Linked DNA regions of Caenorhabditis elegans. The protein of the gene in region 4 purifies or fractionates together with the protein of the main gene of each other region. This does not show direct contact. Each region holds a gene or a part of one and is shown on either strand. Other genes may lie near its edges. The genes, in order: K01A2.5, etfb-1, men-1 and Y47G6A.22.

What was found.
Region 1: the proteins of Y47G6A.22 (region 4) and K01A2.5 fractionate together in Caenorhabditis elegans (co-fractionation; one large-scale study listed by BioGRID). This does not show direct contact.
Region 2: the proteins of Y47G6A.22 (region 4) and etfb-1 fractionate together in Caenorhabditis elegans (co-fractionation; one large-scale study listed by BioGRID). This does not show direct contact.
Region 3: the proteins of Y47G6A.22 (region 4) and men-1 fractionate together in Caenorhabditis elegans (co-fractionation; one large-scale study listed by BioGRID). This does not show direct contact.

Annotation. Positions count from the first base shown.
Region 1 is NC_003280.10:299,754-305,964, reverse strand, and holds K01A2.5 (AB hydrolase-1 domain-containing protein), read right to left. Parts: upstream 3,561-6,211; 5' UTR 3,551-3,560; coding exon 3,269-3,550; intron 3,210-3,268; coding exon 3,056-3,209; intron 2,845-3,055; coding exon 2,733-2,844; intron 2,613-2,732; coding exon 2,363-2,612; 3' UTR 2,306-2,362; downstream 1-2,305. Other genes in the region: col-69 (Nematode cuticle collagen N-terminal domain-containing protein), read left to right, coding at 435-608, 658-871, 1,158-1,781, 1,869-2,041; K01A2.6 (AMIN domain-containing protein), read right to left, coding at 5,198-5,299, 5,865-5,981.
Region 2 is NC_003279.8:2,416,521-2,423,437, forward strand, and holds etfb-1 (Electron transfer flavoprotein subunit beta), read right to left. Parts: upstream 3,834-6,917; 5' UTR 3,827-3,833; coding exon 3,779-3,826; intron 3,519-3,778; coding exon 3,051-3,518; intron 2,329-3,050; coding exon 2,077-2,328; 3' UTR 1,941-2,076; downstream 1-1,940. Other genes in the region: F23C8.13 (PDZ domain-containing protein), read left to right, coding at 662-1,054, 1,851-1,937; did-2 (Charged multivesicular body protein 1b), read right to left, coding at 4,442-4,918, 4,979-5,085, 5,144-5,177; F23C8.7 (Tyrosine-protein kinase), read right to left, coding at 5,885-6,079, 6,130-6,275, 6,323-6,701.
Region 3 is NC_003280.10:14,226,346-14,236,666, forward strand, and holds men-1 (Malic enzyme), read right to left. Parts: upstream 7,511-10,321; 5' UTR 7,459-7,510; coding exon 7,433-7,458; intron 5,932-7,432; coding exon 5,030-5,931; intron 4,023-5,029; coding exon 3,559-4,022; intron 2,326-3,558; coding exon 1,993-2,325; intron 384-1,992; coding exon 246-383; 3' UTR 32-245; downstream 1-31. Other genes in the region: jmjd-2 (Lysine-specific demethylase 4), read right to left, coding at 8,949-9,110.
Region 4 is NC_003279.8:3,558,603-3,566,388, forward strand, and holds Y47G6A.22 (DeHydrogenases, Short chain), read right to left. Parts: upstream 4,250-7,786; 5' UTR 4,243-4,249; coding exon 4,221-4,242; intron 4,169-4,220; coding exon 3,936-4,168; intron 2,983-3,935; coding exon 2,803-2,982; intron 2,752-2,802; coding exon 2,645-2,751; intron 1,668-2,644; coding exon 1,604-1,667; intron 1,551-1,603; coding exon 1,392-1,550; 3' UTR 1,332-1,391; downstream 1-1,331. Other genes in the region: Y47G6A.21 (DeHydrogenases, Short chain), read right to left, coding at 334-426, 1,030-1,194; Y47G6A.33 (C6 domain-containing protein), read left to right, coding at 5,486-5,537, 6,067-6,353; lpd-3 (Bridge-like lipid transfer protein family member 1 C-terminal domain-containing protein), read right to left, coding at 6,641-6,778.

The DNA.
Region 1 (6,211 bases), on a different chromosome or scaffold from region 4:
GGAACTCATTTTGCACTTTGAAATTATGTTTATATAACTACCTGAAAGAAGAATCGTATTAAAATTCCACTATCAATTTTTATCAACTCACTGCCATTATAGTGGTTATTGACTAACTGGCGCCACGTTTATTCATTGATAGTGCTTTCAAAATCTTAATGATTCTTCCTTTATTAGGAATAATTTGGTTTCCGGTGGAACTTTTTTTTGTCAGAAAAATAAAATCAAAAATCAGTTTGTTAAAAAAAATTCTACCAATTGAAATATAATAAGTGGTATACATATGCCAATTGAATTTCCAAGTACTTTTCGCGCATTGAAAAGATCCGGATTTTCCGTTCCAAAACCTTCACTTTATGCGCCGCCCGTCTCTATTTTCAGCAGGAGAGGGAGTATATAAAAGACTAGTTCTTGCCGCAAAACTTCATTAAACCATGAATTTGAACCAAAGTTGTTCACTGAAAAAGTTTCAATTATCTACAGTAATACGTGTGTCTTTCATCGCTTCGTCCCTATTGATTTCGTTATGTCTGTTTTTGATTATGATGACGTCACGGGAAATCTCCGAGTTCCGGGAGCAGACTCTGGATGATTTAAAAGAATGGAAGGTTGGTCAGACTTTTTATTTGCCTGCACCTGGACAAAAAAGTTTTCCAGTACTTCTCCGACGCCGCGTGGAATGAAATGACGTCACTGACAATTCGAAAAGCCAGAAGTCCATCAACGACAGGAAACTCTGGAAATGCCGGAAAACGATTCTGGGCAAAACGATCTTATGATAGTTATGCTCCGCAGCAAGTGAATTCGTATGCAAGAGTGAATAGTTATGCGACTGCACCCGTTTTACAGCATCCAACACAACAGCAATGCAGTTAGTTTTTTTTCTTCAAAAAATAACATCCATTTTGCGGGCGGAGCTTGGATTCTGTGAGAATTTTCGTTTAAAAAATGGGAAAGCTCGTTCAGCAAGATACATTTGTGAGCGGAGCCTAATATCCATTTTTTGGGCGGAGTTTGGTCACAATTTGACTATTTGAACATCTTGTATCTCTTTTTTTAGAAGAAAATTATAATTTTATAGAATTTTGCGAAAAACGGAAAAGATAAAAGGGCAAAAACTAAAAACGAGACTACAAACTACAAAATTCAATTTTCAGATTGTGCCCCACAAGCCAACAATTGTCCACCAGGACCACAAGGCCCCACTGGTTACCCTGGAGCTCCTGGAGAACCGGGCTCTCGGGGTCTCGATGGACGTCCAGGAGCCAATGGTGTAACCCTTATAGCTTACGATCAAGAGATTCCAGGTTGCATACAATGTCCCCAGGGTCCACAAGGTCCTCCTGGTGCCGTTGGGCCTTGTGGACCTTCTGGAATTCCCGGGCTCCCAGGGAATCCCGGATACACCTCTCCTCCAGGACTTCCTGGGCCACCGGGGCCTTGTGGTGAAGCTGGACGGGAAGGTCCCAATGGTACACCAGGCCTTAAGGGAGAGCCTGGAAATAACTCGATCCGTCAGATATCCCTACCAGGCCGTAAAGGCCCTCCAGGACTTCCTGGTCAATGCGGACCACCAGGGCCACCTGGATATACACCGCCTCCAGGACCACCAGGAACACCTGGAGTTCAGGGAGAAGCTGGACAGGATGGAGAACCAGGGGTACCTGGAGTTACTGGCTATCCAGGAGTTCGTGGGCCACCGGGGCAGGATGCTGAATATTGTCCGTGTCCACCAAAGAACGCAGGAGTCAATCGGAATAGTTATGTGCAGCCGGCACCAGGTAGGCTACTTTTTTCCATTAAGTAGGCGGGGCTGATATTACGGCCTAAAAAAACTCAAATTTCAAATTTCAACATATTTTTTACAGTGTCCACAAGCTACGCCACAGCATCCCAAAGCCGTTACGTGTCAGAGTACAATAAAGAGGATGAGTACAGGAAACGAGTGCTGGCTCGAGTGCTCAAGAAGCAGAGACGACTACTTTTGGCGACAAGAGCAAAGAATGTTCGCCGGAAGCCTGTTAGTCACGCTAGTCCGTAATTATTTTTATTTTTGTGAAATAAATTTGTATAAACTTTTTCACGGACGTTTCCAGAAAGTATACTGTCCCAAAAATTTTAATTGGGCTTCGCATGGGCCCCGCCCACAAGGCTCGGACAGAAACCCTTTGTGAACGGGAAGATTTTTTTTCTGGAAATTTTAGAATTTTTTCTGAAATTTTCTTTTGGCAAAATTCCTAATGAAATCAGTCATTTTGTGGGTGGAGCTTATGAGTGTAATAGCGAAATTGCTTGAGACCAGGACGAATTTTTTATAAACTTTATTCTTCACAAAATACAAAATACAAATTTCATATATTTATCATTTCTTCTCCGTGCTCTTCAAGAATTCCAGAACCTTTCCGGAAAACCATTTGGGATATTTCAAATAAAAATCGTGTCCTCCTTGTGCATGAATCTCAACTTTTGCCAAACTCTTGAGCACTGGGATGAAGCATACATTCGGGTCACCACAGAACCGGTCCAATCCACCATTCATCACTAGTGTCGGGCATTTGACTTGTGGAAGTACCAGGTCACACGGGAAACGGCCACCGCAGAACGAGTGAACTCTGAAAATTCGTTTGGTTAGGTAGGAAGCAGACGTAGGTCGCCTTGAAGGTAGTTGGCAGACATATTTGTGCCTACAGGAATATACACAACTTCGCATAAGCCCCGCCCACAAAACTCACTGATCTACGACGTCACAAAGTGCCGCCCATTGTGTCCGGAGTGTTTCCGGCGAATAATGGTCCAAATATGGTTGACGACCGGCTGCTAGCCAATGATTTGTTTCACGCATTCCTGAAATTCCAAAAATTAATTTATAAAGAGCACAAAACCAATAGATGGCCACACCCATAAAATGGACGTTCGATTTATTTTCCCATAAAAAATCTTGTAGGTAGGTAGGCATAAATTGCTGCTTCTATGTGGAAAAATGGGCCATATTGGTGTCAAATTAAGAAATTTCATTAAAAAACAGTAATCTTCCAAATATATCTAAATATCTCACCCTTGAAAGCCATGGCTCCTAGATGATTAACTTTTGTTGCACCAGCCATTACAATCATTCGATTCACTTTTTCCTTTCCTTTAGCTGCCACGTGGACCGTTGTTCTAGCACCTTCTGACCACCCCATCACGGTGAACGGCTCTAGTTTCAGGGTCTAAAATTTGGAGGCTTTTTGAAAACGTAAAAATTTTAATTTCAAAATTAAAAGCTCACCTCCATTAACCCTAGGCAATATTCACTATCCTTCATACATCTCTGAACTTCTTGTTTTCGCTCTGGAGGTCTTGAGGTACCGTAACCTGGAGGATCAATCCCAACAATTGTGACCTGATCTGGTGGGAAATGAGAGAGCAATTTGAGTGGCCAATCTTTTTTATAGCAGCCGACAGCACCGCAAATCGCGAGAATGTAGTTCGGACCGTGGCCGTATTTACAGTAACCGATTTGAGTGTCCTTGATGTGTTCCGAACTTTCGATATAGTCGCTTTGAGTCATTTTTCTTTTGCTGAAATTTATTTAGGTGTTTAATTTGTTAATTATGAGGTAGCGACGGTGAGGAAATTTTCCGGATAATATAAATGTTTGAGACACCTTTGTGACCTTTGAGACCGCACACCTTTGAAGTACATCTCCCCGATTTCTTCTATCCTAGAAAGAGACGTAACAAGGGTCAAGGTTCAAATGTATTGCTAAGAGAACGCCTCTTGTGGTGTGGTAGTACTACAGTATTTACAACCTACTAGTACAGTAGGTCGTATATATTGTTATTGTCGATGATTTACAACCACCGGATTGACCTAGAATTAACATAGGTATTTGAAATCGGTTTAGGCCAAATAATTATGGTTCCGCGACATTTATAGAATTCGGAATTTTCTGAAGAGCGAGAACATGTATTGTGAACCTCTACAATATTTAAATACAGAAATGTAGAGTACAAAACATTGTTTTTTGATCGACTTCCAGAATTATGATACGTGAAAACTGATAGTGAATATTAAATTATTCGAAAATCGGACACATGGAATTATTGATCTCAAAAATTCGGTGAAATAGGCTAAAGAGGAAGGAAAACCAAAGAGGAAATTTTAAAAGTGCATGTATTTGAATGACGAATAGTTCTACGAAAAAGATTTTGAAAGTCCGATAGGAATGAGAAATTTGTAGCCTACAGATTAAGATTTCAGAAGGAATTTGGACAAGACCGGATTAATTTTGTGCCTGTAAGCTGCGGAAAGTTCTAGAACCATCTGGAAAATACGAGAAAGTTTTGGAATGTTCTAAAACCTTCTGAAAAATTAGATAGAATTCCGGAATGTTCTAGAACTATCTGGAAAATACGAGAAAATTTTGGAAGGTTCTGGAACCTTCAGAATAATTCGAGAAAATTTTGGAAGATTCTAGAAAGGTAATAAAAATTATTAAAAAAAACATAACCACTAAAACACCGAAACATCTAGTTATTTGTAATATAAATGTGTAGTTTCTAATAAAAAGGAACTATGAAACAGTAAAGTAAACCTTTTGATTTATACTGGGAGAGTATGCAGATTTCAATCTAGGATATGAGGGTAAATAGGGAATAACAGGTGAAAGTGTACAAACGCAGTCGGAGGAAGATGTTGTTAAGATGAAAGAAGAAGGAGAAGAACACAGGCACTTGGACACACAGAGGGAAATAAATGGGAAATGAAAGGGAAAAGGGATATGGAAGAGACAGAAAATTGTTCCTATTGTCTGAAGGTATTGTATAAAACCGCAAAGAGGAAATTGATGATCGAATCATGTGATTTTGCGGGGAGTGCTGAAAGCATTTTTTTCAGATTTGTCAAGCTTGGGTCTTTGATCTTTTAGGACAACACAGTTTTACACATCTGGAACAATGCGGCTTCACCCATGTTGTCGAACACAAATAAATTTTTATGAACCAAATTTAATCAATAAAACTTGAAAATTACAATATTAGAGAAAAACTTGAAGACGATTTTCTCATTTTCCAGTATTCCCTTGTTTCCGTGTCAATGTCCAAGACTCCACTTCCACTGGATCTCCAAGCGGCTCCCATTGATCCGTGAGCTGTCCTTGTCGATCTCTGAATACTCTAGCTCGTCTTAGGATTCTTCTATATACTGTCGCAGGGTACTATGTGTCGCAGTGTTCATTGGGGTCCTGCCGGTTGACAACTTGCACAGGGACTCTATCAAAGTTTTGATCATGAAATACAGGTAGTTGTTGCGCTGTTCCCTGGAAGATTGGATTGATTGAACAATTTTTTTAGCATCACCTTTTTAAAATATCAGTTTTTAACTGGTCGGTTAAAAAATCCATATATGCCTGCCACCCGATATCATCATTTTAGGTGACTAGCGGGCCTATGGGCCCGCCAGCCCTTCGGGAATGGGGATAGGGTTAATTCGCTCTAAGTTATTAGCAAGGTAGCTGGCGCAGGTTCTCGGCTTTGCCTCGAACCTGTTAACGGGTTATTCGAGATCTCTTTGAAATTATTTCAGGAGTGGGGTATATGTTTAGAAAACTTGACTATTCAGGTTTGAGGCTTCGCCTCGAAGCTCTTACTGTGTAAATTGAAATCTCTTTAAACTTTGATTCATTGCTCCAGGACCGACACTGTACGAATAACTTAGGCTGAGATTTTGTTCAAGAATAATTAGAATGTATTCAATAAAATAAGTGAACAAAAATTAGGAACAGAACCGTTTTGAATGTCATGATGTATAGGTTCCTTAAGAATAAAATATAATTGTTTCAAACTGACGGGTTAATAATGTTTTAATTCCCTTAATCCACTTACCAGATCGACTTCAAGAATCCTCCTGGAAACAATTCTCGACTCTCCGGACAAAATCACAGTTGGTACATTTTGACAAAAAGCATAGGAAATAAGTAAAACGATTCCCAGAAGAATCATAGCAGCGAAACTGAATGAGGAACTTGTTGTCAAACGATAATAAGCTTATCAGTTCGTAGACTAATGATAAGACTAACATGCTAACTGGTAGGCAGTTGCAAAACATCTAGAGGTGCTTTCCATTTGCTTGCAGGAATCGTCATTCTTGGTTTTTGGATTGTATGCTTTATTATTATTAATGTTGTAACTTAAATAAATAAACGATCAAATAAATAGAATTTCACAGAAAT
Region 2 (6,917 bases), 1.1 Mb from region 4:
TATCGATTTTTTTTTATTTAAAAAACTGAATTCAATTTTTAAAATGTTTGTTAAATAAAAATGGATGCGCGCCTTTAAAGAGTACTGTAATTTCAAACTTTCGTTGCTATGAAATTTGCATCGATTTTTTCGTAGTTTTTATGTTTTGTTTTATTTCTTTTTTTAAATAAATAAATATATTTTTATCGAAAAACTACGAAAAATCTATTTAAAAAATTCCATAGCAGCGAAAGTTCGAAATTACAGTACCCTTTAAAGGCGCTCACCCGTTTATATTTAACAAAAAATTTTAAAATCGAATTCAGTAATTTTTTAATTAAAAAAATCGATTTTTAACGAAACACTATGAGAAATCAAAAAAAATCCCACAAAACTTTGAAGCTACAGTACTCTTTAAAGGCGCACAATAGGGGAAAAATTATTATACACATATGTGCATAATCGCGGCAAGACCCAAGAAAAAAGAAGAAGAAAAAGCCAATTTAGTGAGCACTTGAATGAGTAATAGGGCTCGCTCAAGTCCGATGAGCCGCGGGTACACATAATTGGATGGCCGCTACTTTTTCTTTTCTTTTTTTCTTGAGCTCAACATGCTTAGCTGCACTCATAATTCAGTTAGGGGTCACTTTTTTTTTCGAAAAAAATTCTAAAAAACTTCCAGAGCACACATCTTCGAGAAGGCGATCGTCTACTCCGGTGCAACAAGATCTCACTTCGCGCCGTTTCCGTAGATCAGGCGGCGAGCATCTTCCGATTCTGGATGTCCCGCTCCGATTCGCTGACTCTGTTGATCGAACGAAGATCCGACGGTGAGAGTGTGATGATGCGGCGTCGGCGGCAGGCGAGGCTCTCAATGTGCAATGAGCAGCGGGAGCAGACACGACACGTCGTTTCAGGGCGAGCCACGTTACGGATGACGTCATCAAGGTCGGCAGAGGTATTCCGGTGTGGGGACTCGACGTCGTTCCGCATGAAATCTCCGAAATACGAGTCATTCAACACATCATCGCCCTCAAAATCCATATGTCCCCAGTGCAATTCTCAGACTAGAATGGTAAGTTTTTCTTTTTTTTTTTCATTCCAAAAATTCCAATATTACGGGAACTTAAAAATTCTTAGAATGCGTATTTCGCAACATATTTGACGTGCAAAATATGAAAATATCTCGTAACGAAAACTACAGTAATTCTTTGAATGACTACTGTAGCACTTGTGTCGATTTACGAAAATGATTTTTTGTTTGAAAAACGAAGAAAAATTGAATATCTTTGTCACTATTCGAAATGAAATTCATTTCAATATTCGAGCCCGTAAATCGGCCTACAGTAGTCATTTAAAGAATTACTGTAGTTTTCGCTACGAGATATTTTCATATTTTGCGCGTCAAATATGCTGCGCTGTACGCATTCTCAGAATGTGTGAGTTTCCGTAATACTATAAAGTGCAATTGCGCTCCACGGACAAATCTCCACCCCAAACCGTTGGGTCTCGTTAGGAATTGGCGGGAAAACCGTTTTTGCCAATTTTCCAGCATTTTTCGCTGTTTTCAATGAGTTTTTTTTTGTCAAAATTGAAAAAGTTAATGTCATAATCATTTTTAACCATAATTTCGGCATAAAAACATAAAAAATAACGAAAAATGCTTGAAAACGGGTAAAATCGTCGGAAGTAATCGTTATTTCGACCTAAAACTTATAAAAAATATGAAAAAAAGCTTAAAAATTGGCAAGAATAATGTAAAACATTTGAATTTCCCGTCTTGCCGCCAAATATTTACCTAACGAGACCCATCGTTTAGGGGCGGGGCGCGTAATTTTTCGCGCCCAGATAATAATCCGTAATATTTCCAGATCTACCTACACCAATTCTCCCATGGTTTTGTGAACAATGCATTCCGTTTTTTGATCGTTTCCCGTTCAAGCTATTCACTTTTATGAACAAAAATAATTTTTCATACTTTTTTAAACCTGCATCACATAAAACATTGAATAGAAAAAATAATAAAAATAATTTAAATACAAAATTTTCTGATTCGACTACTACAATAATTCAGCGGCGGAAGAGGTTATCGGGGGCTTAAGCCTTGACGAATCCCTTCTCCTTGAGCTTGGCGACAAGTGCCGAGACATCGTCGACGAATCCTCCGGCCTGGCGAACTGGTGGCTCGGTGACTTCAAGAGTTTCAGTTTGTGGTGTGATATCTACATTCAGATCTTTGATTGGAATGTTCTTCAGTGGCTTCTTCTTGGCCTTCATGATGTTTGGAAGAGTCGCGTAGCGGGGCTCGTTGAGGCGAAGATCGGCGGATAGGACGAATGGCACTTTGACCTGGAAAATAGAAAATTTTTCGAATAAAACTTTAGATCCGTGAATTTTGCAAACAAAATAGCGGCGCGCAGAAATAGGGGCGGGGCGTTATTTTGCAACCTTGCGGCACGGTTTTTCCTCCTTTTTTCGCTTTTTCAATTTTTCATGTTTTAATCTCCTTTTTTTTCGAATAAGAACGTTATTTAATTAACTATCAAAATTTATTAATCGATCCTTGAATTTTGCAAGAAATTTTGTCGCCCAGAAAGTGGGGCGGGGCATAGCTTTTGCAACACTGCCGCACGGGGTTTGCCTCCGCCCCTTTTCTACTGCTTTTAAGCTTTTCTTGTTGATTTTTTCAATAATTTCTTTTTTTTTCGAATGAAAATCCAATTCGAAAAAAAAGAGAAAAATCGAAACTTTATTGAAAAAATCAACAAAAAAAGCAGTGGAAAAGGGGCGGAGACAAACCCCGTGCGGCAGTGTTGCGTAAGCTACGCTCCGCCCCACTTTCTGTGCGACAAATTTTTGCAAAATTTAAGGATCGATTAATAAATTTTGATTTTAAATTAAATAACGTTCTCATTCGAAAAAAGAGATTAAAACATGAAAAATTGAAAAAATCAAACAAAAAACAAGCGGAAAAAGGAAAAACCGTGCCGCAGGGTTGCAATATCAAGCCCCGTCTCGCGTTCTGTGCGGGGCTGCTTTTCACGGCTATCGATCGATATAGTAAGAATCACCTTAATCGTGTCAAGACCTCCATCAATTTCACGGGTGACCTTCATGTGTCCAGCGCCTGCGTCTTCAACCTTCGACGCGTAGAGAGCCTGTGGCCACTCGAGCAGGCCAGCGAGAATCGGAGCAGTTTGCGACGAATCATCATCGATTGCCTGCTTTCCGAGAAAAACCGCGTCGAACTTCTCCTGCTCGACAATCTTCTGAAGCGCCTTCGCCACGTGGAATGACTCGAGCTTGCCAGCTTCGGCGTCGGTCACCTGAACGTGAACTGCCTTGTCGGCGCCCTTCGCCAACGCGGTCCGGAGCACTTCGGCGGATTTTGGTCCGCCGAGCGAGAACGCGACGACTTCGGTGGCGAGCTTCTTCTCCTTGAGCTTGACGGCCTCCTCTAAAGCGATCTCGTCGAATGGATTCATGCTGTGTTGAACTCCTTCGGTGACGACTCCCGAGCGGTCCGGCTTGACACGGATCTGGAAATTTTGGGCTTTTATAGAATCGAAATGTGTCTAAAATCTCCAATTTATCCAAGTTTTCCGTGTCACAGCGGTTGGAAATCAGCTTTTATTGCCAATTTTAATCGATTTTCCGTTGATTGGGGTACACTTTGAGCCAAAAATGACAAAAAACTGATTTCCAACTGCTGCGACACGGAAAAGTTGGTGAAATTCAAGATTTTCGCCGAAATTAAGCTGTTTTTTCGAATTTTTTGCTCTTTTTCCTGAAATCCTACCTTGACAGCATAGTCGACAACTCTCTTGACTCCGACGAGAATCTTCATCGCTTGGCTGGAAGAAAAACTGGGAATAAATTTATTTATTTATTAATAAATGAAGAAATGATCGAAAAAAACAGCGGCGGCGGGGTCAAAGTACACACTTCAGAGTTCAGAATTTGATTTTTAAATTTGAATCAATTAATTAAAGCCGAAATTCGAAATTTTAGCCGAAAAATGTTTAAAATAGCTTTAAAACTGCCACGTTTTTCCTTAAAAACCTTCGAAAATTCCGTTTTTTATAGAAAATTCGTGAAAAATAAGAATAAAAATAATAAAACAAGTGATGAGAGAGATAAGACGATGTGGAGAGAGAGTGTGGGAAGACGAGAGACGCAGAGAATGAAACGCGGGCGGTGATTGTTGTGGCCTACACGTAAGCGACCGATTTGTAGAAAAAATGTTCTGAAAAATAAAAGAATAAATATTTCGAAGAAGACATGAGCTGAACTTCGTAGATCTAGATAGATTAGATAAAACAAAAAAAAAGCAGAAAAATTGTTGCTTCATTATTGAGAGAAATGTTGTATATACAAGAAAAAAAGCAGTATCTTAATTTTAAAAATGAAACCGTCAGCAGAATATTCATATTCACAGAAATTTCTTGAGAAATCTGGAAGATCACATGTTGCGAAGAGCAGCCAGGCGTTCTGTGAGGTCCTTGTCTTCTGAAACAGCTTGCGTCCCGGTCGGCAGAGCAGTTGGCACGTTTGACGGAAGCTCCTGGTTGAGCTCGATGCCTGCCTTGTCGGCGGCCTCTGCAATCAGAGCATCCACCTGTGACTTCGGAGCATTCAACACTGTCGTTCCGTCCATCGTCTTTTCCATCGTCTTTGTGGTCACGTCGAGATCTTCGAAATCTCTTTCGAATCTATCCATCAACTGTTGAACTTTCTCGAGATTCATGCTCTTCATGGCGCTTTCCATGGCTTTCACTACGCCGCTCATGCTGGCGGTTACTCGTTTTTGTGTGGCGGCGGTTTGAACTCGGGCGGCCACTGCGTCGATTCTGGCGGCCATTTTAATGTAGTTCACTGCTTCATTCTTCTTCCTGATCGCATTTTCAGCATGAACCTGTGCGACTTCTTTGTTTCCTTTCTGGAAAAAATCGAATTTAAAAAATAATTGTTTTTTTTTTCATTTTTAATTATTTTTTACCTTAATAGCTGCCGTCAGCTTGTCTTTCTCGACCTTTTCATCCTTCTCGCATCGTTGAGCATTCTTTTCCAACTGTTTCGCTGCGAATTTAAGATCAAATAAGTGTTCTGGAAGATAAAAACATGAAAATAAGTCAAAATCAAGAGAAATCAATTTGAAACTCACTTTCCAAGGCCATACTGCTTTCTCCGGCTCCCATGATGATTTTATGTGTATTAAGCTGGTATTTGAGTTTCTGAAATACGAGAATTACGGTGAGAAAGTGCTTTTATAAGTTAAATTTCGCAAGAAAGCGATAAAAACAAATTCATGAGTCATGTGTGTGTATCTGCGGACTTTACGTCATAAACGACGACACTTGATGTCCGCAAGCAGCGGATCTTACGACAATTTTGGGTTGTAGAAATTTCTGTATTTTAAGTCGGTTTCAGGCTATAAAACACAAAATTATCAACGTCAAAAATATTTCCAGATCCGCTATATGAATTTGAAAAAATTAACATCGTAATTTCACCGATAGATAAAATCGCACAAAAATAAACTACCATAAACTTTTTTGCGTGCCAAGACCAATCTGAATAAATCTGTGCGCCTTTCTTTGAAAATTACTGTAATTATCGACTTTTCGTAGTTTTTTTGTAAAAAAAATTGAATTTATTCATCAATAAACTAACAAAAAACAGTATATGTTTTAACAAATCAAAAGAAATAAAAAAATTGAAGAAAATACCGCAATTTTTAAATTACAGTACTCTTTAAAGGCGCACACCTTCACGCATTTAACAAACAATTGTCGTTTCGAGACCAGGTACCGTATTCTTCTCTCGAATTCTCAGGGTAATAAAACAATTTTATTAACATCTCAAGTCAAAACTATCAAAACTTTATTTCCGAACAAATCAAAGATCACTTCGGCTTCTTCTTGTTGTTTCTCTTCACCGAGAACATTGGCGGCTTCATCGTCTTCATCTCCTCCTCGGTCGAGCGATTGCTCGATAGAATCGATAGAACCACTGGCTTCATCCCAAAAGTTGTCTGAAGATAGCGCAGAACATCCGCCATGCTCACACGATCCGCCGGATTTTCAGCCCAGCAGTGCTTCTGAAAAATGAGAAATTAGTAATTAGCTATAATTTCAGATTCAAACCAACCGTGACATAGTCGCCGAATCTGAAGTCCACAAAGACCGGATCAAACCGCATGCGGTATCCATTACGGACCTTTCCGACGACGTCAGCAACTCTCATGTCTGGGTACGGCTCCTTCCCATTCTCAGTGATCTCCCAAGCCATTATTCCTGAAAAAATGTCTATTTTATTTGAAAATGTTATTGGAAAGACTAACCGAACGCAAACACATCAGTCTTCGGACTATAAATCCCCGCTTTCAACGTCTCCGGAGCCAACCAACGAATCGGAACCTTCTTCGTCAGGTCCATGACATACGAGATTCCCTCACGGGATAACCCAAAATCCGCAATCTTGACCTGACCACCTCCATACAGGCAATTTCTCGCCGCAATGTCTCGATGTAGAAGTTTCTTCTCGTGCATATACGAGATTCCACACGCTGCTTGGTAGATCATCTCCATCTTCTTGTCGGGCACCAAATTCGGATTCTTCTGAAGGTACGAGTCCAGGGCTCCACAATCCGCCAACTCCATGATGACGTACAGCGGCTCCTGGCTTGCACCAACTCCGTAGAATTTAACGACATTTGGATGCTGCAAAAAAATTAAATTTTTGGGCGAAATCGAAATTTAAAAGGAGTTTTCGAGTTTTTCAGAAAAAATAACTCAAAATTTCTTCTATTTTTCAATTTTTCACAAGATTTCAGTGAGAAATCATTGCGTTTTCATGTAACCTGGGTCCCACCACGACTGTAAAATTTTTCTCAGTTACCGTACTCGCGAGTACGCACGCTTCTGGCTTCCCTTGAA
Region 3 (10,321 bases), on a different chromosome or scaffold from region 4:
AAAAACTGGAAAAATGCCCTAACAAGCTAAATTTACATGTAAATTTATATAATTAAATTTTTGTATAATCTAAAAATCCATAGGATTATGCTATACACGTAGACATTAAGAACTTTGTGAAAAAAAAATGAATTTTTAGGGGTAAAAAGGTAAAATAGGGTGTATTTACGCGGGAAAGAGAGATGGAGAGAGAGACTAGAGAAAAATGCGAAAAAAATTGGGAAAAAAAACGATAAAATAAAAGATTATTCCTCGTCCATCGAGGTTCTTCTCAACACTGGAACCGGGAAACCGTGTTTCGAATCCTTGGCTGGCCATTCGTAAGTCTTATTGATCAGCTCATCATACTCAACACTGTACAGGTTCTGGCGAATGAACATTTCCTGGAAAAATTCAAATTTTTTATAAATTTAAAACTGAAAAAAAAGCACAAACTTTTAACCAATTTTACGAAATTTTTTAACAAATTTTTTGAGAAATTGCTAGTTAAAAATTAATTAAAAATTCTCAAAAAATCCCAAAATTTTTGACAATTTTTTAGGGGAAAATTGCGTTTTTTAACTTCTCATTTTCCTTTTTTTTGAGATTTTTTTCGGAAATTTCGGGTTAAAAATTGAAATTTCTCAAAAAATTCCAAAATATTTGAAAAATTTTAAGATTTTTGACAATTTTTAGGGGAAACTATTATTTTTAGAATCAATTTTTCACTTTTATTTCCAAGTTCAAGGTCAAAAAAATCGAAATTTTCAAAAAATTAAAATTTCCCAAAAAAAAAAAGAAGCAAAATTTCTCTTTAAAAAATTGAAATTTCCAGAAAAATCCGAAATTTCCCGAAATTTCCCGACATTTTCAACCCGAAATTCAGAATCAGCATACTTTAATTAACAATTTTCAGCTCATTTAAACGAAATATCGTAGAATCCGGTGCCAAGTACGCAAACACCGAAGCTCTGCGTACTTCTGAGGCTACAGTAACCCGGAAATTTTCAAAATTGAGCTAGAGACTCCAAAAAAAAGACGACTAGGGGCGAAATTTTACGAGGAACTCGAATTTTGCAGTGTCGATTAATCTGCGGCTCGTGTGTACTCCCCGAGGAGAAGTTTGCGTTGTTTTTGCAAGGAAATTCACGTTTTAGGCTAAAAGTAGTCCATTTTTGCTGATTTTTTGATTTTTAACGATTTAAATCACCTAATTTATTGATTTTTTAAAGTTTTTAGTGAAAATAAATGAATTTACTGCTGAAAATGCACTAGAAACCAGAAAAATCGTACTTTCACCGGAAAAAAACCTATGAAAATGAGCAATTCGAATAGTAAATTCGGAAATTCTCCTCGGGGAGTACACGAACCGCGTAAATCGACACACGGTCATATTTTTGCATTCGAAAAAAAATGTGAAAAATTATATTTTCAGCAGTTTTTTTCGGAAAAATCGTCAGAAATAAGTAGAATTTTTCAATTTTAGGCATAAAATTGTCTAAAAATCATTTTTGAAGGTATTTTTCAAAATTTTTTCATGTTTTTCAGCTAAAAATGCTTTTTTCCATGAAAAATTATTCTTTTCCTCGAGGAGTACACGACTCGCGTAAATCGGTACACGGCCATTTTTTGCATTAAAAAGTGAGGAAAATCAATTTTTTCGGGTGGGGAAAAGTCTTTTTTTGTCATTTTTAAAAATGTTTTTCATCCATTTTTCATGTTTTTTCAGCTTGAAATGCTAGGAAAATCGAAATTTTCCCGATTTTTTCCAAATTTCCACTCAAAAAATTGCTTTTCTCTCCGAGGAGTACACGATTCGCGTAAATCGACACATGGCCATTTTTTGCATTAAAAAGTGAGGAAAATCACTTTTTTTCGGGGAAAAGTTTTTTTTTTTGGTATTTTTCAACAGTTTTTCATGTTTTTTTCAGCAAAAAATGTCTAAAAATTGCAGGAAAATCGAAATTTTCCGACGTTTTTTTTTTTCAAATTTCCACTCAAAAACAACCGCACCATATCATCGGGTTTCGGGTGCAAAGTGGCCAAATCGTGTCGATAACAATACTCGCCAACTTCTACGGCAATTTTCACCGAAAGTTCTCGAATATCCTTCAGACGTGGATATACACGTGAATACGTGTTCAACGACTTCTCCGATACGGCTTCGGCGACCATACGGGCGGCCAGAAGGAACAGCTTGTCCGGAATGTTTTTGGTACGGAAGAGGACGGCTCCGAGAGCAACACCCGGGAAGATGTAGGCGTTGTTTCCCTGTCCTGGCTTATAGAGTTTTCCATTCATTTCGACATTTTCGAACGGGGATCCGGAGGCGAAGAGGACGGCTCCCTGCAAAAATTGGGTATTTTTGGAGGGAAAAATAACTGATTTTTCAGATTTTTCATTGAAAAATGATTTTTAAGATTAAAAATTGACATTTTTCCAAATTTTTCCATAGAAAATTAATTTTAATTCCATTTAAAATCATTTTTCCACGAAAGAGCTGAAAAATATAAATTTTTATTAAATTCTAAAATCATTTTTTCAACTAAAAATCTAAAAAGAATAAATTTTAAAATTGACATTTTCCACAATTTTCTTCGAAAAAATTAACTTACAATTGGAAGAAATTGTACCTTTTTAAAGATTTTTCTGTTAAAAAACAAAATTTAATTCAATTTAAAATCATTTTTCCGTAAAAAATCTGAAAAAACGACGCAACTTTAAATTATAAAATTGACTTCAATAAATTAAAAACTAAAACATTATTTTAAAATGATTTTTTTTTAATTAAAATTGGCATTTTCCAGATTTTTTAAAGAAAAATAAATTTAAAATATTCTCTTTGCCGTGGAAAATATTAATTTTCAATTAAAAAAGGTTAATTTTTGATTTATAAAGTCACTTTTTAAAAGGTAAATCTGAAAAAAAACGGTCAATTTTTGAATTTCAAAATAATTTTTCCATGAAAAATCAAGCGAAAATTGGCAAATTCTACATTTCTCAACTAAAAAAGTGCAGATTTTCTCCATATTTTTCCAGTTTTTTTTTCCAATTTTCGTTATTATTTTTATTACTATTTAAAAATTACTTTTTTCCCAGATTTTTCATTTAAAACCGCTCTAAATTCTAAAAATTGATATATATTTTAGATTTTAAAATTTAAATTTTCAGATTTCCAGATTTCTCTTTGAAAAGCGACTTTAAAATTACTATTTTTCAGGTTTTTCATTGAAAAATGGCTCTAAATTGTAAAAATTGAGATTTTTTAAGTTTTTTATTTGAAAAAAAAAACATTTTTTCATGGAAAATCTGAAAAAAAAACGGTTAATTTTTAACACAAAAAGTCCGGAAAATTATACATTTGGATTTAAAAATTTTTGATTTTTTTTCCATGAAAAAGCTGGAAAATAATAATTTTTAACTAACTTTTCATTGGAAAAATCTGAAAAACGGCGAATTTTTGAATTTAAAAATTCACTTTTCCATGAAAAATGCAGTAAATTCAGCTCAAAAAATCTGAAAAATTCAGATTTTCTCCATATTTTTCCAGTTTTTTCTCTAAATTTACATATCCCGTACATTTGTGCAGCGATAAGCCGTCTCCGCAGTGCATTCTGCTTTACTTGTAGGGTTGGACAGTGCAAAAATGATTGGCCTCGGGTTCAGCCGAGCCATTTCCTTAATAATATCCTCCGTAAATGCTCCAGCCACCGTAGATGCTCCGATGAGTGCTCCAGGCTTGACAGTCTTCACAACTTCCAGCAGATTCTTGGTATCCGGAAGATCTTTAGCGAATTTCACATGTCTCTCGCCAAGAGATTTACTACGAGACGTCGTGATGAGTCCTTCAATATCAACCATATAAATCCGACCGCAAGCTTCTTCCTCCGACAATCCCTCGTCCATCATCTGTCGGACACACATTTCGGCGACTCCGGTGGCGGCTCCACCGGCTCCGAGGAAGACGATCCGTTCCTGGGAGAGCTTCTTCTTGGTGATACGAGTTGAGGCGAGCAGGCCGGCGACGACGACAGCGGCGGTACCTGGAAATTTGCAAAAAAATTTTTTTTACAAAATTTATTTCTAACTATTTTTTAATTTTTTTTTTTAATCAAAAATTTCAAATCTGAAATCTGAAAACAAAAGAACTTTTAATTTTTAATTTTTAAAACTATTTTTTAAAGACCTTTTTTTTTTGTTTCCTATTTTATATTGAAAAAATCCAAATTTCCTGGGAAACTATTATTTTTAGAATCAATTTTTCACTTTTATTTCCAAGTTCAAGGTCAAAAAAATCGAAATTTTCAAAAAATTAAAATTTCCCAAAAAAAAAAAGAAGCAAAATTTCTCTTTAAAAAATTGAAATTTCCAGAAAAATCCGAAATTTCCCGAAATTTTCCGACATTTTCAACCCGAAATTCAGAATCAGCATACTTTAATTAACAATTTTCAGCTCATTTAAACGAAATATCGTAGAATCCGGTGCCAAGTACGCAAACACCGAAGCTCTGCGTACTTCTGAGGCTACAGTAACCCGGAAATTTTCAAAATTGAGCTAGAGACTCCAAAATAATTACATGGCTAGGGGTAAAGAAATTTTACGGAAAACTTTTACGGCGGAATTTTGCAGTTAAAATATAAAGTTATAAAGGAATATATCCCCTCAAATTTGCTTCACTATTTTTTTGAAACTCCAAAATTCGAGTTTCCCGTGAAACTTCACCCCGGGCTGTACTTTTTTTTTCGAGTTACTAGCTCAATTTTGAAAATATCCGGGTTACTGTAGCCCCGAAAGTACGCAGCGCTTCGGTGTTTGCGTACCAGACACCAGATTCTACGAGATTTCTTCGTCTAAATGAGCTGAAAATTGGCGCACAGGGCAATAAAAGTATGCTGATTCTGAATTTCATATTTGAAAACAGTGAAAATTCAGATTTTTTTTGAAAAATTTCGGCCAAAATGCAATTTTTTTTCTCAAATGTGCATTTTAAAGCCTTTTTCTCCGATTTTTTCGCTTTTTTTCCTCAATTTCCCCCCTGCCAAATTCTACCTTGAATATCATCATTAAACATGCAATATTCTCCCTTATACCGATCCAACAACCGATACGCATTCTGATTTCCAAAATCTTCAAATTGAATCAGCGTATCCCGTCCGAACCGCTTCGTGGCCGCCTTCATAAAATTATCGACGAGCGTATCGTATTCGGGACCTCTAACACGCTTTCTACGGAGCCCCGTGTAGAATGGATCGTTGAGCAGCTCGCTGTTATCAGTTCCCACGTCGAGAATCACCGGGAGACACCATTCCGGGCGAATCCCTGCGAGCGCAACGTAGAGTGCAAGTTTTCCAACGGGAATTCCGATTCCATAGGTTCCCAGGTCGCCGAGGCCGAGGATCCGCTCTCCGTCAGTGATCACAATTGCTCGGACGTTCTCTGTCGGCCAATTTGCAAGAATCTGATGGATTTTACTAATACTATTATCATTAATAGTAATGTAGAGACCCTTTGGGTTACGGTAGATGAATCCGAAATGCTGACAGGCTTGTCCTACGGTAGGAGTGTACACAATTGGCATGAGCTCCTTCACATTATCGCAGAGCACTCGGTAGTAGAGCTTCTCGTTACGATCCTGCAACGAGTCCAATTGAATGTACTTGGCAAGGTTGTCAGGTTGCTGGCGGAGTTTTGTGATGATACGGTAGGCTTGTTGCTCTTCGGTCATAAATGCGGGTGGCAGAAGCCCGTGAACTCCGAGATATTGACGTTCGTGGAGGGAAAAAGCCATTCCCTTATTGAGCCCGGGCGACTTGAGCAGGTCGATTCCTCGCTTCTGGGGTGTGGTGCGTTCCGGGCGGTAGAGCTTGTGAAGGGCCAGAGTTTTGGGATCGGAGAGATCCGGCTCGTTTTTGTCGCTCAGGCATCGTGTTGATGTGGAGAGACGGCGGATGCTGGAAATTTGGGGATTTTTGGTTTTTCATTGAAAAAAATGGCAAAAATTCAGATTTTCCCGGAGAAACCCATTTAAAATGACCGAAATTCAAATTTTTCGGAAAAAAAAATCCATAAATAATGGCTAAAAATTCAGATTTTCATGGAAAAAATTTATTTAAAATCGTTAAAATTCAGATTTTCCAGAAAAAAAACTATTTAAAATGGCTAAAAAGTAGATTTTCACGGAAAAATGTATTCGAAATGGCTGAAACTCAGATTTTTCTGGGAAAATGCCATTAAAACGGCTAAATTTCAAATTTTCCGGAAAAAAATCCATAAAAAATGACTAAATATTCAGATTTTCCCGGAAAAATCCATTTAAAAGGCTGAAAATCGGATTTTTTGGAAAAAATTTTTTTTAATGACTAAAACAGTAGATTTTCACGGAAAAAATGTATTTGAAATGGCTGAAACTCAAATTTTTTAAATATAAAAAATGGCTAAAAATCAAGCTTTCCCAGAAAAATCAATTAAAAACGGCTGAAATTCAGATTTTCTCCGAAAAAAATTCATGAAAAATGGCTAAAAATCGGATTTTCTCGGAAAAAATCCCTTAAAAACGGCTGTAATTCAGTTTTTTCCAAAAAAAAATCCATTGAAAATAGCGAAAATTCAGATTTCTCCTGGAAAAACTCATTCAAACGGCTCAAATTGAGACTTTTTCCCGGAAAAATACATTAAAAATAGCGAAAAATCTGTTTTTCCAGAAAAAAAACTATTTATAATGACTAAAACTCAGATTTTTCCGAAAAAAAATTGATTACAAATGGCTTAAAATCAGATTTTCCAGGAAAAAATGCATAAAAAATGGCGGAAAATTCATTTTAAAAATGTTGAAATTTTAGATTTTCCCGGAAAAAATCCATTAAAAATTGGCTGAAATTCAGATTTTTTCGGAAAAATCCACCAACTGCGGCTAAAAATCAGATTTTTCTGGAATAAAACCATAAAAAATGTCAAAAATTCATTCAAAATGCCAGAAATACAGACTTTTTCGGAAAAAAATCTAGTAAAATGGCTGAAATGCAGATTTTCCCGGAGAAAACCATTTAAAATGGCTGAAGTTCAGATTTTTTTAGAAAAAATAAATTTAAAATGATTAAAACTCAGATTTTCCAAGAAAAATTGGGCAAAATCGCAGAAAAATCGCAGAAATTGAAATTTTCATAGGTTTTTATCGAAAAAATCTACAAATTTTTTAAATACTCGTCAAAATTCGTAGACTTTTTCAACGAAAACCTGTAAAAATTTCAATTTCTGCAATTTCTCGCAGAAAAATCGATATTTTACGCATTTTTGCCGAGACCATCTGAATTTCACCCATTTTTCATAAATTTTTTCCGAGAAAAGCAGAATTTCAGCCGTTTTAAATGGATTTTTCCGGGAAAATCTGAATTTTTAGTCATTTTTAATACATTTCTCGAATTTCAGCTAATTTCAACGCAAAATCCTCCCTACCTGGCAGGCGAAAGACGGCTCAGCATTTTTCGTGATTCCCGCACGGTTGTGAAACCCAAGAGCAAATGAGAATTGATTCTGAAATGAGACGGAAAAATGTAAAATTTCGATAAAAACTTTTTTTTTTGAAACACGTGAAATAAAAACGGTGACAATTGATAAGAAAAATGAGTGCATTTTATCAATTTTTATTCAGAAAAAATTATGGAAAACCTGAAAATTCGGGAAAACTCGCGGTGAAACTGGAGAGACAATTGCCTGAGAAGCCACAAATGGGGGCGCCCGTCGTCTATCGATCCACGTATTCTTTCGGGATAAACTATGTGCGAGAGATCTGCACTCAGCGGAGAGACGCAGGGAGAAAAAGAAAACAAAAACACGGGCGGAACTCTTTTCTTGAAAAAATGAATTTTTATTTCAAAAAGTAAGATGGAAAATCGTTTTTCCTTCGAGTGGCGGCGAAATGAGTGCTTGGGGGAGCAAGTATGCGGTGAGAGGAGGGAAGAGGGAGAAAAAGCGAGAAAAATGATGTTTTCCCGTGTTTTTTTCTTGTTTATAGCGATATTTTTCGATCAAGGTGGCCTTGTCATCGAATTAGCCGTGATCTTTGGGGTTTTAATTGGAAGAAACAGATATTTTAATGCGATTTTTTGAATTTTCCACAAAAAATAAAGAAATTAGTTTATTTTTCCTCTCGAAAACCGACAAAAACTCAAGAAAATAACGAAAATCAATGAAAAAAATAAAGAAAAATTGTCGTCAAATGTGGCGCATTGGCCGCAAAGTACGCAGTTGCCGTGTCAATTCACCGGCGCCAATTCGAATTTTGAAAGGTTTTTTCATTAAAAAATAGCTTTTTAAAGAGAATTTCTGGATTTTGAACTGTTTTTTCATTAAAAATAGCTTTTTAAAGAGAATTTCTGGATTTTGAAAGGTTTTTTCATTAAAAAACAGCTTTGAAAAGAGAATTTCTGGATTTTGAAAGGTTTTTTCATTAAAAAACAGTTTTTTAAAGAGAATTTCTGGATTTTGAACGAGTTTTCCGGTTATTTTCAATATTTTCCCACTCCCAACGCAGCTGTCAGCTCAACACGTGTTCACAGGAAGTCAACAAATCGGATAAAGTGATCTTTGGCCAATTTTTCTGATTTTTCGACGGAATTATTTGATAAGAATGCGATTAGTGTGTTGGCATTTGGAAAAAAAAAGGTTTATTAGATAAATTGATCAATTTCGGGGAAAACATTTAAAAGTTTCTGCAAAATAATAGGGAAAAATAGCGAAAAATATTTAAATGACAAAAAAATACAGAAAAAAAACAGAAAAACAGGGATAATTAGAGATTCTTCGACTTTTCGTACAAAAAAAAACTGGGGGGAAAAGAGGCGCAGAGATCACATATTTGAGGGTAGACGGGCGGGAAAGAGAGAATATATTACATTTTGACAAGAATTTTTTGTCAGGGACTATTTAATAGTAAATTTTAAAAAATCGAATATTTATTTATTTATTAAAGCTATTTTTTGAGATACGCGTTCAGTTCTCGCTTCGTTTTCAGCCTGTTCCGTGGATGGCGGACTTCTCGGCCATCTTCCAGTCGGACCGTGTACTCGATCATCTGTCCTTTTCCACGGAAGTACGCGTCGTAGACTTGCTTGTCGTCCCACACTACTTTTACCTGCAAAACAAATTGGGGAATTTATTGATTTTTTTGGGGGTTTTTAGGACTTTTTTATAGTATTTCCGGGCTTTTTCTTTATTTATAATTTATTTAAAAAAACAGGAAAACCCATTAAAAATGACTAGAAGACTTGAGTTTTCCCTAGAAAAATCGTGATTTTAAAGGGGAAAATCTGAATTTCGGCTGTTTATAATGAATTTTTCCCGAAAAATCTGAAATATTCAGCTGAATTTTAGCTATTTAAAAACAATATTTTCGAAAAAAAAAATCGGATTATTAGCAATTTTAAACAGATTTTATCGGGAAAACCTGAATATGAGCCATTTTTAATACATTTTTACAATTTTTTTGTAAAAATCTGCACAATTTATAGTTTTTTTTTCGGTTTTGGCCTGAAAAACTATAAATAAGACGATTTGTGTGTTAAAATACCGAAAAGAATTGCCCGAAATTGAGGATTTTATCGAAAACCTTGTCCTCGAGGACTACACGAGCTCTTTAACTCCAAAATTCGAGTTCTCCGTGAAATTTCACCCCTGGCTGTACTTTTTTGGAGGCTTTAGCCCAATTTTGAAATTTTCTCGGTTACTGTAGCGCCAAAAGTACGCAACGCCGCGGTGTTTGCGTACCAGGCACCAGATTTGACGACATTTTGTTTAAATCAGCTGAAAATTGGTTCACAGGGCAATAAAATCACGCTGATTCTGAATTTCGTATTGAAAATGAGAAAAATTCGATTTTAAACACTAAAAATTGTATTTTCGGCGTTAAAAAATCGGAATTTTCCACATTTCGATTAATTTTCCAACATTTTTAATATGAAAATCAGAATCAGCATGATTTTTTAGCCCCGTACTTCATTTTTCAGCTCATTTAGACGAAATTCCGTAGAATCTGGTGCCAGGTACGCAAACACCAAGGCGCTGCGTACTTTCGGGGCTACAGTAACCCGGAATTGTGAAAATTGAGCTAGAGACTGCAAAAAAGTACAGCCAGGGGTGAAATTTCAAGAGGAACTCGAATTTTGCAGCAAAAATCATCGAAAATTTGAGGAAATTGACGATTTTTTTTGAAAATTTCAATTTCCTGGTGGAAAATCAATATTCCCCAGCATTTTTAATATAAAATTCAGAATCAGCGTACCTTTATTGCCCTGTGAATTAATTATGAGCCAATTTAGACGCAATTTCGTCAGATTTGGTGCCAGG
Region 4 (7,786 bases):
AATTTCTCGAAAAAAAAACTATGGATCCTGGAAAAGTGAAGTTTTTTATTTTTCAAGTTTAAATTTTGAATAGTATTGACTTCATAAAATTGAAAAAAAACCTATTGTAGTTCCGCAATTGTTCCTGGGATACGAACTTAAAGGCGCACGCAATTATCTAGTTGGGTCTCACCGCGCAAAAACATTTTTCGTGGCAAGACCCAACCGAATAAATCCGTGATCCTCTATGTACGCGTTTCTGAAAATTTTGTAAATAATAAATGGATAAACTCTAAATTTCCGAAAAACTTTTCTCTCGATAGTTTCAAATTGTTTCGAACTGAATATCCTCACCAATGAGTCAATTCTTCCGAATTTTTGTACAGTTGCATCCACAATTGCTTTGGGCGCCTCATCAGAGCTCAGCTCCACTGCAGTTATCAGAATCTGGAATGAAAATCGATTTTTTAATTGATGTCGCTATTTTTTCCACCTAAAAACGTTCAATCCCCTTTTTTTGCAAAATTTTGCGATTTTTGGTCTCGAAACGACATAATAAAATTCATAGCTACAGTACCTGCAAGTGTTTGTAATTTTTAATGATTTTTAGTATACTTCTTGATATTCGATGAGTTTTAATATTTTTTTTTGTATGTGTCAAGACCATGGCGGCGGTTTTTTTTAATTAAAAAAATAATTTTTTTTGTTTTTTCGACAAAAAAACGGTGTTTCCAAAAATTACAAACGAGGAAAAAAAATCGAAATTTTTTTGTGATAACTGCTATCATGAGAACACAAAATTCTGAGAATGCGTAATGCACAACATAATTGACGCGCAAAATATCAAAACTACAGTAATTCTTTAAATGACTACTGTAGCGCTTGTGTTGATTTACGACACCAGAGTTACAGTAGTAATTTGAAGGATTACTGTAGTTTTCGCTACGAGATATTTTGCGCGTCAAATATGTTGCGCAATACGCAATCTCAGAATTCTGTGTTCCCGTAATACTGTACTTTCCGTCACAGTTCCTAAAATATAAAACTCACATCATCAGCCGAAATTGCACCCTCTGAAATACATAGTGCTGCGACTTCCTTCAAAGAATCCGTATTTCTTCCGGTCAGCGAGAGTTGGTACTTTTTTTTCGCGAACAGAAGAGCCGTGCCTTTTCCGATTCCCGAACTTGCTCCGGTGATGATGGCGACTGGCATTTTCGGATACTCTGAATAAATTCAAAACTGAATCAAAAAAAAATCGATTTTTTTTCAAAAAAAAAAAAAATTAAGCAAGGAAAAAACCACTATAAAGGATTCAATAAAAACACAATTAAAAAAAATACATGTATCTCTCTATTTATTACATGATAAAAGTTCAAAACAATCTCAATATGAGACAAAAAAGCTAATATTTATCTCGGATGCATGATTCCGCGGCCTCCGTCAACACGAAGAAGTTCTCCAGTAGTGAATGAACTTTTCTCAGAGGCGAGGAAATAGATTGCCTCAGCAACTTCATTGGCATCACCGGGACGGCCGAGTGCGTGTGTCGTTTTACTACGTTCCAAGAACTGAAAGAAATGATGATATTTATTTGTCAAGGTCAGTGCAGCAGGTTTTATACCGCAGAATATGTTGTCTCGTCTTGACCAGATGTACGATGCAGGTTGGTCACGGTGACCCCTGGGCTGAAATTTTTGGAGAAATGACAAATTTATATGGGTTTATTAAGGGAACACAATATTTTGAGAATGCGTATTGCGCATCATATGTGACGCGCAAAATATCAAAACTACAGTAATTCTTTAAATGACTACTGTTGCACTTGTGCCGATTTACGGGTTTTTTTATTTATCAAAAGATTATTGAAAATGAGAAAATAATACGAAGAAACGAAGAAAATAAATTAATTTCCAAAATCGAGCCCGTAAATCGACACAAGCAGTACAGTAGTCAGTTAAAGGATTACTGTAGTTTTGATATTTTGCGCGTCAAATATGTTGCGTAAGACGAATTCCCAAAATTTTGTGTTCCCGTAATACGTGTGTTGTTAGCGTTTCATTCGACAAAAAATGAGAAAGTTAGCGATTTTTGCACCAAAATACGGTAACCGGTCTCGAAGCGATCTTTTTTTTTTCAATTCAAAAGTGCGTGCGCCTTTAAAGGAGTACTGTAGTGTACTGTAGTTACTTACTCCTAGTTTTTGCGAGATTTTTAAAGCAATTTTCCATAGTTTAGCTCCTGTCTTTTAAAAAATTCGTTTTTATTCAAAAAATATAAAAATGCATCAAAATTTGAACAAAAACAAGAAAACCTATGAAAATTCGGCAAAAAGTTAGAATTTTCAGGAAATTTTCCTAGTTTTTTTTTGTGATTTCGTTCTTACTCATATTTTCCGATAATTTTTCGATTTTTCGAAAAAAAAAAAGCCAAAAATATTTTCGATTTCAAAAATAAATATTTTTCCGATTTTTCGCAAAATATCTTGAAATTTTGACAATTTTTCTTCTTTTTGGAAGAAATGTATATGTTTTCTTATTTTTCGAATATTTCTTTAAAAAACCTAAAAACCGAAAAAATCGTAATTACAGTACTCCTTAAAGAGAATCGATCGCTTCGAGACCTGGCACCGTAGTTTTTTGGCAAAAATCGCGAGAAAACTCACCAAACAGCATTAACACGAACTCCATTCGGAGCCATTTCGAGAGCCAAACATTTTGTGAATTGATCTACGGCCGACTTGGACATACAGTAATAGGTTACATTTGGGAACTGAAAATTGCGAATTTGAAAATTATTTTCAACAAAAAAATAACATCATACAGGGCACGGTCCATTAATACTGCTGACATTGACAACAGTTCCTTTTGTTGTAATAATATGTGGAAGAGCTGCACGTGTCAGGCGGATCAAACTACGAACATTCACATTCATTAGCTCATCGTAGACTTCAATTCCAGAATCGAGAACTGGTCCGGCACGCAGAATCCCGGCCGAATTGATCTGAAATTTAGAATATTTTAAGGGTTTAATAATTCAAGAATCGGTTGGAGAGTTTTTTTAAATGTTTTCGTTATCCCCATATTTTCTTTTTACAGGTTGGTGCAATTTTTCTCGAAAATAAAAATGAGAAAACTCTTTAGGCAGAAATTTGGAAAATTCGAAAAAAAAAGTATCTAAAAAAGCGCGCAAACTTTTTTCTCAAAAAATTTTAAAAAATAAAAATTCTAAGATCTCTGAATCTTAATGTGAAATGCGACAAAAATAATTTTAATTTTAAAAAAAATAATTAAATTTGGGTGCAAAACTGAGCTACAGTACTCGCATATACTACAGAATTTTTTCAAATTTTCCTTCGATTTTTATATATAAATTTTAATTTTTCAAACAGTTTTTTATCGAAAAGTATAAAATTCGATGAAAATTCCGCAGAAACAAAAGAAAATACAGTACTCTTTAAAGGCGCGCACCTTTTTACAAGTTGCAAAAATTAGTCGTGGTGAGACCAGATACCGTATTTGTAACGCAATAGTAGTCGCAAAACTTCACATTTGGATAATTTTCTGTGCATTTTTTTACAAAATTCGCAATTATTACGTTTTCAAAAAGAATTTTGAACTAAAATTTTTTATAACGGGAACACAAAATCCTGAAAATGCGTAATGCAACACATTTGACGCGCATAATATCTCGTAGCGAAGACTACCGTAATTCTTTAAATGACTACTGTAGCGATTGTGTCGATTTACGGGCTTTATTATCTTGATTATGAGAATCAAGCCCGTAAATCGACACAAGAGCTACAGTAGTCATTAAAAGAATTACTGTAGTTTTCGCTGCGAGATATTTTGCGCGTCAAATATGTTGTGCAGTACGAATTCTCAGAATTTTATTTATTTTTATGTTCCCGTAATAGTTCTAAATTTTATTATAACTTTCCAAAAATAACCCCCCACCAATGTGTCAATTCGTCCAAACTTTTGCACAGTCGCATCCACAATAGTCTTCGGAGCTTCTTCTGAAGCCAACTCAACAGCGGTCACCAGTACATCATTCTTATCACTTCCAGCACTGACAATTTGCCCGGCGAGCTCATTGAGAGCCGCCACATTCCGTCCGGTAAGTGAGAGCTTGTAGTTGTTCCGGGCGAGAAGAAGAGCCGCCGCACGTCCAATACCAGAACTTGCACCTGGAAAAGAGGGGAGAGGAATGGAATTTCAAGTATTTAGAGTCATTATTACCTGTGACAATTGCGACGGGCATGGTTGACCTGCAAAATCAAAATTAAAATTAAAATTGAAAATTGAAAATTGAAAAAAAAATCTTTGAAACAAATAATAAACGGCATCCTAAAAAAACGAGACCCAGAGAAAAATACAAATTTTGTTTTCTCCGCTCCTGATAACACATCACACATCAGGAGTTCAACTTTTCCAAATTTTTTTGCGCGTAAACTGTGGTGCATTAGGTACATGACTCAATGCATCACATTTGACGCGCAAACTTTTTTATTTCAAAATCCATGTCAAACTGTGGGTTACTGTAGTTGATATTTGAAAAAATTGCTATTTTTGTGCCAAAGCTACGGTGCCTGGTCTCGTCGCGATAAATGTATGTTAAATGTAAAAAGATGTGCGCCTTCAAAGAGTACTGTGTCAATGAAAATTCCAAAACGAGAAATTACAGTGCTCTTTAAAGGAGCACACCTTTTCGTATTTAACAAATATTTGTCGTGTCGAGATATGGAGAAAAAAATCGTAAAATTTTGATGCAGAAAAATGCGATTTTTGAAATCGAGGTGCAAGCGCGCTCCACGGTCAAATGGAAAAGCTCCGCCCCCAAACGTTGGGTCTCGTTAGGTATTACCGCTTTTTTGCCGATTTCACCTGTTCTCAAGCATTTTTTCGTGTTTTTTCAAGATTTTTATATCGAAATTATGTTTTTAAAATTGCATTTAAAAGGGAAAACCGTTATTTAATTTGATTTTCCTTAATTTCGACACATAAAACTAGTAAAATCGGCAAAAAACCATAAAAATTCCCGGTTGTCTCGCCAATACCTGACGAGACCCAACGTTTGGGGGCGGATCCTTTTCAGTTGTCCGTGTCAGTCTGGAAACCTATATTGGCTACTATCTCGAAAACCATCACAAAATCGATTTTGCGATGCATATAAGAAATGACCGCAATGAATATACCTATCTTTATTTGTGATGAATTTTCGATTTTGTGCTTCCTGCCCAAGTTATGCACGTTTGTTCGGTGGAGTGCGTTTGCACCCATCTAGCAACTGAACCACCGTGAAAAGCGCATTTTTCTACGTCTCAATAATATTTCCCTTTGTTCAGTCTTTTTTTCCCGTTTCAATTCAAAAACTAATCAATCATGATGAAGGAAGTTTTGTGTGTGGGGCGGGGTGAGCGTTCGTCGCCGAAAAAAAAACAGCAGTAACGATATTTAAGGCTGAGAATTAGGGTTTGAGTACTGATAGATAGGTCAGCGGCGAAATGTTCAAGATCATTGTTCTACTGGCTACGATTCTGATCGTCACTGTCTATGGTGGGTTTTTTGAGATTATTGATTTTTCAACAAAAAAAAATTCGAATAATGTTTAATCACCCAATTCATTAAAAAAAAGAAGTGTAATGGGATTAATGAAAAAATAGGATTTTTTATAAATAGTTTTTAAAATTTGACGAATTTTTCTGCTTTTCGCCAGATTATTTGAAAAGTGAATTTTCGTAAGGGGAGTCAGAATGTCCTATTTGGGTTTTGATCTTCAAAAAATGCGGGAGAAGAGACGCAGACTTCTCATCTTATTTCGCCTGGTTAAGAGCCTACTGACGTCACAATTTTTCCGGAAAAATATTCCCGCATTTTTTGTTTATCAAACCGCAATGAGACAGCCTGACACCACGTGTTTTCAAAAATATCAATTTTGTACAGGGAATTTGTTTATTTCCCCAAAAATTAAATTTTTTTTCGAATTTGCGCGTCAAACATGGTGCACTGTCGTAGTTCACTGACCCAATGCATCAAATTTTACGCGCAAATGCGGCCCTAAATGAATAATTTGAATAATTTCCAGGTGGCTGCCCCGGCATTTCCAGCATCTACCTCCCCCGCCGAGTCAATTGTCCCCTCTGCGATTTCGCTCCATTTTCTCAAGCTGTAACCGGCTCCGGCAATCAATATTCGATAAAATGCCCCGCTGGCTCTGATGTTTGGTACTACAATGAACAGGGACGTGAATTCGTGACCCCAATGAGTAAAGTTGGATCAAAAGGAAGCATCAAGTGTGATGGATCGAAATGGAAGATCAGTGTGCCCGGACAAAGTCAGACACTTTCTGCGTTTGCGTGTGGATCCTCGTAATAAGATATAAATAATCCAAAAATTGTTAGGAAACTTATCAAATGAAACTAATAAATACTAGTACAAATGAATTATTATTCACAGAAAAAAATAAATAAAAATAGACAAATCACAGAAGCTCATTGGAAATTATTTGGTACATTTAAATATTTGTGGAAGCAGAAATTGGAGGAAAAAAATAAATAATTAAAAAAAACCGTAAATCAGGCAATAGAAAATATTAAGAAGCTGCTGGCCAATAATTGTTGACTAGAAAATTAGAAAATACATGAGAAAAAAAAAATCAATTAATTGTGTTTCGGTCTAAACGAGGCGTCGGAAATATCTGTAATAATATCGGGAATATCGATTGAAACGGAAACTTCTTCGCTCGAACGACGGCTGTCTCGTCGTTTTGGTGTCGGTGCCATCGAGTCCGTTCGACTCTGAAAATTTTGGTTTTTTGTTGAAATTTGGAGGCAGATACTGTTTTACTACTTGATCTTTTACTACGTATCTCTTTTACTACAAGATCTCTTTTACTACGAATTCCGCATTTAGATCTTTTACTACAATTGGCTCTTTTACTACGTGATCTCTTTTACTACCATTTGACCACATAGATCTTTTACTACGGAAAATACTTTTTTACTACCTCATCTTTTACTACGTGGATCTTTCACTACGGTTTCATATTTCGATGTTTTGCTACAGTTTGTATCTTTTGCTACGGTAGACATTTTTACTACAATGGCAGGGATTGTACTTTTCACTATGTTTCGTATCTTTTACTACTAATTTTTTACTACGAATTAAAAATTAATGTCTATAGTATTTTATATTCTAGATATAAACAAATGTATGAATAGTTTTTTTTTAATACATAGGTCATAATTGTAGATGGAGTTAATGGGGTTAGACTGTTGGGTTACTGTAGTGGTATTGTGGAAATAACAGTTTTCAGATTATATAGTGTTTTTTTTTAATTTCTAGAAATTTATTCACTATGAAATGAGCAGAACTTATTATGGCCATTTGGATCTAGAAATTAAAAAAAAACACGATATGATCTCTTGCTCTCTTGTAAAACTTTTGTAAAAATTCCAGAAACATTTAAAAAGTCCTCTATAAATGTTTTAAAACTCAGAAGATTTTCTGAAAATGAAAATGTAGGTATCCTATCTCGGTCGTCAATTTATTTGTCATAGTTTTCAACTACAAAGTTGTTGAATATGGTATGATCTACGATTTGTCAGTTGAACATTTTTTTACCAAATTGTTTTCTCGCGGAGTTATCGGTACTTGGAGTCAATACGTTTTATGAACTAACTTTTGACAACTTATCTCCGTTTTTTTTTCAAATCTAAAATCGTGATTAGAAAAAAAACATTTCTAAAGTGTTGATCAAAAGTTTCAAAATGTCAGCTGAAGTCAAAATTTTAAACACCTGACAG